2 linked regions of the Saccharomyces cerevisiae S288C genome follow. The protein of the gene in region 2 binds, or shares a complex with, the protein of the main gene of each other region. Each region holds a gene or a part of one and is shown on either strand. Other genes may lie near its edges. The genes, in order: BEM1 and CDC24. A codon is read from its position in the direction of its gene.

What was found.
Region 1: the proteins of CDC24 (region 2) and BEM1 are in contact, whole or in part, in an NMR structure (PDB 2KFK), measured with the Saccharomyces cerevisiae proteins. Residues at the interface, in NP_009359.1 of Saccharomyces cerevisiae: Lys817, Tyr818, Asp820, Glu821, Asp822, Asp824, Phe825, Val826, Val827, Gly829, Ser830, Glu832, Asp833, Asn835, Val836, Glu839, Met840; in NP_009759.3 of Saccharomyces cerevisiae: Thr478 (codon at 916), Lys480 (codon at 910), Lys482 (codon at 904), Tyr484 (codon at 898), Asp488 (codon at 886), Ile489 (codon at 883), Phe490 (codon at 880), Ala491 (codon at 877), Leu492 (codon at 874), Met493 (codon at 871), Lys506 (codon at 832), Pro509 (codon at 823), Arg510 (codon at 820), Lys543 (codon at 721), Lys545 (codon at 715).

What each region holds. Positions count from the first base shown.
Region 1 is NC_001134.8:619,290-623,218, reverse strand, and holds BEM1 (phosphatidylinositol-3-phosphate-binding protein BEM1), read right to left. Parts: upstream 2,348-3,929; coding exon 692-2,347; downstream 1-691. Other genes in the region: YBR200W-A (uncharacterized protein), read right to left, coding at 72-236; KTR4 (putative mannosyltransferase), read right to left, coding at 2,916-3,929.
Region 2 is NC_001133.9:60,645-64,573, forward strand, and holds the start of CDC24 (Rho family guanine nucleotide exchange factor CDC24), read left to right. Parts: upstream 1-2,195; coding exon 2,196-3,929. Other genes in the region: RNA-processing protein PTA1, read right to left, coding at 1-408; retrograde cargo receptor ERV46, read left to right, coding at 672-1,919. UniProt on the Saccharomyces cerevisiae protein: Promotes the exchange of CDC42-bound GDP by GTP. Controls the polarity of calmodulin, and the calcium regulatory process of bud emergence. CDC24 may be involved in the initial selection and organization of the budding site.

The sequences.
Region 1 (3,929 bases), on a different chromosome or scaffold from region 2:
TGCTACATTACAGGTATTTCGATTTACAATAATTTCAATTACTTTCTGCTTGATTAATAGTGATTATCATTTTAGCCTGTCCTATCGCTAATAAAATAAAGAGAAAGTATCTTTGGGCTGCGGTTACGTAAGCTCAGTGTTCCAACAAGAACAGCGCCACAATGAAATCTACGCCACTTCATTAAATCGAAAGGGAGCCACATTATCCTTTGACACATATGGAAGCACAAAAGCATATTTAAGAATAAATATGTTCAGAATTTTTCTTGTAGTCTCTTCTGAATTTTACGTCAGCAATATAACTTAAAATACCTATAATTCATGCATTATGATTGAGTGGAAATATTTGGCTTTTTGTACGTTTTTTTTTACATGTGGTGTAAAATCTTTCATATAATTCATTTTCAGGTGAATTTAAGCTTAGGTACCCAACTTTACATTTGAAGAAAAATATAAATAAAAAATATTTCCAAGTGGTCTAAAAAGTTTAAGCAACTTTCTATATACATATATGTCCTTATTTATTTTTATTACAAATCACGCTGTTTCGGAAGAATTGGATACCTTAATATTATTACTGTTCGGGAGAATCTTATTACTCTCGCAAATCATCATAAAGTTGATTAAAATGTTCAACCTATGTGCATCTGCCAAGTAAAGAAGAAAAATGCTTCGTCTTCTAACACTAGATTCAAATATCGTGAACGGAAATTTTCAGTTTGGCTTGGATTATGTTACTGACTTGTGAATCAGTCTTAATTTCCTCCCCGCTACCATCAAATAATTTGGTTTGTAATTTAAAATTATCTGTATCAATCCTTGGAGCGATTTTACTACGAAGTTCTTTATAGGTTGTGTCACCCTTCAGCATTAAAGCAAAAATATCGTCTTTGTAATAAAATTTAATTTTAGTAGTTTTCAATCCAGAAGTTGATTGGGCTGGAGCCTGCTTGGAGCCCGATAAAGATAAATCTGAGAGTTTCTTGTTTAACTTCAAGTCTTCGCCAGTTAAAGTGTTGTCTTGGTTAGTTGAGGCAAAATTAGAAGTTTGAGATGCTGTTGCAAAGGTTGCTGTATCGTTTTCTTGTAATGTTTTAATATTGTTTTGATTTTCGTCTCTTTCAAATTCTCTGTCGAAACCATTATTCAAAACAACGAATAAGGAATGCACCATTTCTGAGCGAGATATATAATCGGGAAGATTCACTAGGTCTGCCACATATATATTCAAGTCCTCCTTTCTTTTTTTTGTTATGCTATTGGTAACGTATGGAACGGGTCCAGGGATATAGGGCATTATACGTTTGGACCATTGTCCACCTGCATCCCTCAACTTACCGGCCTCTGCTGGGAACGCATCCAAAAGTTGAACCTGCAGATCGTAGAAATCTTGATAGTATCTTTTCAGTTGCCTCGTCTTACCGTTAGATAATTCACAGCAAACCAAAAACCAATACTTCTCATCTTCTAACCCAAAGGATTCAACGGATGCTTTCACTAATAATTCACCGTCAACCAGCTTTGCGCTTTTGTTCTGAGGTTTTGTAATGGATTGCTGCTGCTGCTGCTCCACAGAACCAAGGCTAATATTACTAGCTTTGTATCTTGCAATGTTGCTTTTCCATTCTTGAACAGTTGGTAGGTTAACTGACTTGATGTCTTCTATTACGTCGTTACCTGTTGCGTACCCCGTGGCAATATCTATGATGCTAACAAACCCAACAGGAACAAGGCCGGGCCCTCCAAGTCGACCAATTGGCTTAGCAATGAACCATTCACAGTTATGGTGGGCGCAAATAAACAAATTCTCTCCCACATAAGTTGTCAACTCATCAGCTTTTTCTGCCTTAAAGTCATATAAAACAATGGCGTATAACGATCCCATGTTTAATGAATCATTTGTAACCTTCCGACTTGAACTATTGGATCCATTCACAGAGGAAGGTTTAGTTCTATCAAACACTTCAAAATAGGTTTTGGGGACAACACCCTCTTTTCCAGTAGAAGGATTTGAAGCTTTATACCAATCCTTCTCATCTCCAGATACATAAAAAAATTCACCTTCCATGAAAGATAGTTCCTTTGAAGTTTGTGCCTGATAACTGTATTTGGCTTTTATAACTTTCTCTGGAGAAGTAATATCTTTAGAATTATGTCTGTTTTTTGGTGAAGAGTCCCGTTGGCTTTTCACTGGGGTGGAAGATGAAGAAAGGTACCTCACTGGTACTGTCTTAATATGCTTTATAACACTCCCATTATCATGAGAAGGTGTGGAAATATCTGCGGATGTAATTCTGCCCTTCGACCCATTACTATCTCTTTTTGAGAGTTTGAAGTTTTTCAGCATTTATATGGCTTTCTTGACAATTTCTTTTCACACAGTGCTTTCAACGTGCATCCATATGGGTTTAGTATATTAGTGAAAACATATGCTGATTAAGATGGTACATCAAATTATGGCTGTATTGTCACTTTCTTTTTTTCCTGTTCGTAAATGAATGGGGCCCTTCGCCATTTGTCCGTTTAGGGTAATATTAGTTAAGAAGCCGTTAAGGCCCGGGAAGAATGTCGAATAACAATAGATAAGAGATATTGTAAAGTTTTTGGATTTCGGTTTACCATATTGTATTGAAATGATTGAAAATATAACGACATTATAATTCCATATTATCAAGTGACATTTTTGAGGAGTAGCTTTCTCAAACCAATAATACCTTCAACAATACTATCTACTGGCTGAGAAACATTTCATTTTCCATGAATGTTCACCTGTAACATTTTTAGGTTGCTACATTATAAACTTTTCTTAATTCCATAATATATATCTATCTATGTGCGTCCTAAATTAAATCATAAAACCCCAGATGTGATGCCGTTCTCGAAAGCAGCGGCACAAATTCTCAAAGCTAATGTCTTCAATACATTTCTAACTCTTCCTCAGACATAGAGTGTCTTATCCAGGTTGCCTGGCAATTTTGGTTGTCTAGATCACTCCAAGGAGTGAATTTGCCTGGTACACAATTTCCATTACACCTATCTGAATCTGCTGGACAAGTTGGACAGTTCGTGTACGGAGTATGGTGATAACCTATATCCCTGAACCAATGGATGCTTGACTTATCCGCAAATAAAGCAAGTGCCAAACTTCTTACAGGGGCATCACCCCACCTTTCATAGTAGAATCCTCCCTTTTCTTCAAGATATTGCATATATTTTTCATAAGGTTCTGACCTCAAAAAGTCTAAATCGACTATTTCAAAATTGGTCCAGAAATGACAAGTTGAATACCCTTGAGTATAATCATAATTTTTTGGATTTTGAGAGTTATCTTTTAGCCATGCGAAGGCTCCGTTGACGTTCAAATAGTTTGGGTGTTCCTCGACAAAATCCATAGTTGAAGTCCATAGCGTTTCGATGGTTTGCGGACTATCATAGAGGTTCAAAACAAACCCATAAATCTTGTCATTCTTGTTCATAAATTGGAAAACGTCATAGTTAATTTTGCAATAGAAATTCACGTTTGGCTCTAATCTCCACACATATTTATATTTAGATAGCAGAGGATGATGGTAAAATTCTTTAGAATAGAAACGACACATGTTATGATAGGATTCCACCTCTGCATACTGAATGTTCTCTTTACTCATTTTGTCCATTTCTTGGTCGTATCTCTCCCTATCTATGCTATCAGGCATATTCCAGTTATCTGGACCAATAGTGCCAAATTCTACTACACGGTCCTTAGGAAGAATACTTTTTATTCCATCTTTGAATTCGTCAGTAAATTCCTCATCGTTAAGGAAGGTATAGGGATATCCAAAATTCTTATTGTACTCCTCTTCTAGCTGTTGAATAGAAGAAATTATATCCTCTAAATCAGAATTTCTCACCAAACTCAAAATAGTTCCTTTTGCCTTGCCGGCTAACGG
Region 2 (3,929 bases):
CCAGTGCGAGAGCACGAACTTCTTCAGCATACACAACTGATCAAACATTTCCTGGTTTGATGTCTTAGCAACCAGATCCAACACCAGCGGGTATGAAGCGCACATAATAAGCACGATATTCTTGTACACTAGTACGTCCGCGGTGGATTGCGCCATAGCAAGAAGTAGTGGCAGATATTGAGCAGCAATAAACGGTCTCTCAGTATTCGCAATTGGAGAGTCCATCGACACCACGTCTAGAACTAACTGTGTAAAAAACTTGGCCAAAGGCAACTTCAGCTTGCTGAGATTACCGTTGTGGTACATGGATGCCGTAGTTTCGAGCACCTTGGGCAGCATCTCCGTTGGATTGTTGTGCATGGCCAGTGTCTTGGCCTGTAACAATTGTTCCATCTCTGCAGATGACATTGCGCTGCTTAGTGGTAGTTATATGCTTCTTGCCACGATTTAACCATTTGTTCAGTCAAGTACTAACGGTTAAAAGGTATCGAAATATGGCAACTTTTCACTTTTAGATCAAGTCACTATATACGACTTGAACATCAGAACGGCGATTTTCCATCAAGATGGAGTGGAAACCACGCCATTATAAAGGAAAGCTAGTTTTATGTCTCGTATACATGCGGAGTAGGACAGTGATATAACACACATAGCTAGACACAATAGACATCATGAAAAGGTCCACGTTGCTGTCGCTGGACGCATTCGCTAAGACCGAAGAGGACGTACGAGTCCGCACCAGGGCCGGCGGGCTGATCACTTTATCGTGCATCTTGACCACGTTATTTCTGCTGGTGAACGAGTGGGGACAGTTCAATTCTGTGGTAACAAGGCCACAATTGGTGGTGGACCGTGACCGACACGCAAAGCTGGAGCTTAATATGGATGTGACATTTCCATCGATGCCATGTGACCTGGTGAATCTCGATATTATGGACGACTCTGGAGAGATGCAACTAGACATTCTTGACGCAGGGTTCACGATGTCTAGGTTGAATAGCGAGGGTCGCCCCGTGGGAGATGCTACTGAGTTGCATGTGGGTGGGAACGGCGACGGAACCGCGCCGGTTAATAACGATCCTAACTATTGTGGGCCATGTTACGGTGCCAAAGATCAGTCGCAGAATGAGAATCTAGCACAGGAAGAGAAGGTTTGCTGCCAAGACTGTGATGCAGTGAGATCAGCATACTTGGAGGCAGGCTGGGCTTTTTTCGACGGGAAGAATATCGAGCAGTGTGAAAGAGAGGGCTATGTCAGCAAGATTAACGAGCACTTGAATGAAGGCTGCAGGATCAAAGGTTCTGCACAAATTAACAGAATTCAGGGGAATCTTCACTTTGCCCCTGGAAAACCCTACCAGAATGCATATGGACATTTTCATGATACTTCTTTGTACGACAAGACTTCGAATTTGAACTTCAACCACATCATCAATCATTTGAGCTTTGGGAAGCCGATCCAGTCCCACAGTAAGTTGTTAGGAAACGATAAGCGCCACGGCGGCGCCGTAGTTGCCACTTCTCCCTTGGACGGACGCCAGGTGTTCCCGGACAGGAACACACACTTTCACCAGTTCTCGTATTTTGCCAAGATTGTCCCCACCAGATATGAGTACTTGGATAATGTTGTCATTGAGACCGCGCAGTTCAGCGCCACTTTTCATTCCCGACCTCTTGCCGGTGGAAGGGACAAGGATCATCCAAACACACTTCACGTTAGGGGTGGTATCCCTGGTATGTTCGTCTTTTTCGAAATGTCTCCATTGAAAGTCATCAATAAGGAACAGCACGGGCAGACTTGGTCGGGCTTCATCTTGAATTGTATCACCAGCATTGGTGGTGTCCTAGCTGTGGGCACTGTCATGGACAAGCTATTCTACAAAGCACAGAGATCGATCTGGGGCAAGAAGAGCCAGTAGAGGAAGAGACTGTCATAGGGAAGAGCCCTTTCTACATACTACTACATAATATATATATATAGTATAGAAATTGGTATATCACTACTTGTACAAATATCATATTGTACGATAATCGCGAAGAACGACGCACTGGTGGGAAGAAGTGGAAAACAGAAGCTTTAAGGTAGAAACAGAACAAGAATGTGGCTATGGTAGGATAGCAGAAGAGTACCATTGCTGTTATCATTTGTTGCCTAGCCCTATCAAGACCTGTCTGCTAATCCAACCCGAGAGATCATGGCGATCCAAACCCGTTTTGCCTCGGGCACATCTTTATCCGATTTGAAACCAAAACCAAGTGCAACTTCCATCTCCATACCCATGCAAAATGTCATGAACAAGCCTGTCACGGAACAGGACTCACTGTTCCATATATGCGCAAACATCCGGAAAAGACTGGAGGTGTTACCTCAACTCAAACCTTTTTTACAATTGGCCTACCAATCGAGCGAGGTTTTGAGTGAAAGGCAATCTCTTTTGCTATCCCAAAAGCAGCATCAGGAACTGCTCAAGTCCAATGGCGCTAACCGGGACAGTAGCGACTTGGCACCAACTTTAAGGTCTAGCTCTATCTCCACAGCTACCAGTCTCATGTCGATGGAAGGTATATCATACACGAATTCGAATCCCTCGGCCACCCCAAATATGGAGGACACTTTACTGACTTTTAGTATGGGTATTTTGCCCATTACCATGGATTGCGACCCTGTGACACAACTATCACAGCTGTTTCAACAAGGTGCGCCCCTCTGTATACTTTTCAACTCTGTGAAGCCGCAATTTAAATTACCGGTAATAGCATCTGACGATTTGAAAGTCTGTAAAAAATCCATTTATGACTTTATATTGGGCTGCAAGAAACACTTTGCATTTAACGATGAGGAGCTTTTCACTATATCCGACGTTTTTGCCAACTCTACTTCCCAGCTGGTCAAAGTGCTAGAAGTAGTAGAAACGCTAATGAATTCCAGCCCTACTATTTTCCCCTCTAAGAGTAAGACACAGCAAATCATGAACGCAGAAAACCAACACCGACATCAGCCTCAGCAGTCTTCGAAGAAGCATAACGAGTATGTTAAAATTATCAAGGAATTCGTTGCAACGGAAAGAAAATATGTTCACGATTTGGAAATTTTGGATAAATATAGACAGCAGTTATTAGACAGCAATCTAATAACGTCTGAAGAGTTGTACATGTTGTTCCCTAATTTGGGTGATGCTATAGATTTTCAAAGAAGATTTCTAATATCCTTGGAAATAAATGCTTTAGTAGAACCTTCCAAGCAAAGAATCGGGGCTCTTTTCATGCATTCCAAACATTTTTTTAAGTTGTATGAGCCTTGGTCTATTGGCCAAAATGCAGCCATCGAATTTCTCTCTTCAACTTTGCACAAGATGAGGGTTGATGAATCGCAGCGGTTCATAATTAACAATAAACTGGAATTGCAATCCTTCCTTTATAAACCCGTGCAAAGGCTTTGTAGATATCCCCTGTTGGTCAAAGAATTGCTTGCTGAATCGAGTGACGATAATAATACGAAAGAACTTGAAGCTGCTTTAGATATTTCTAAAAATATTGCGAGAAGTATCAACGAAAATCAAAGAAGAACAGAAAATCATCAAGTGGTGAAGAAACTTTATGGTAGAGTGGTCAACTGGAAGGGTTATAGAATTTCCAAGTTCGGTGAGTTATTATATTTCGATAAAGTGTTCATTTCAACAACAAATAGCTCCTCGGAACCTGAAAGAGAATTTGAGGTTTATCTTTTTGAAAAAATCATCATCCTTTTTTCAGAGGTAGTGACTAAGAAATCTGCATCATCACTAATCCTTAAGAAGAAATCCTCAACCTCAGCATCAATCTCCGCCTCGAACATAACGGACAACAATGGCAGCCCTCACCACAGTTACCATAAGAGGCATAGCAATAGTAGTAGCAGTAATAATATCCATTTATCTTCGTCTTCAGCA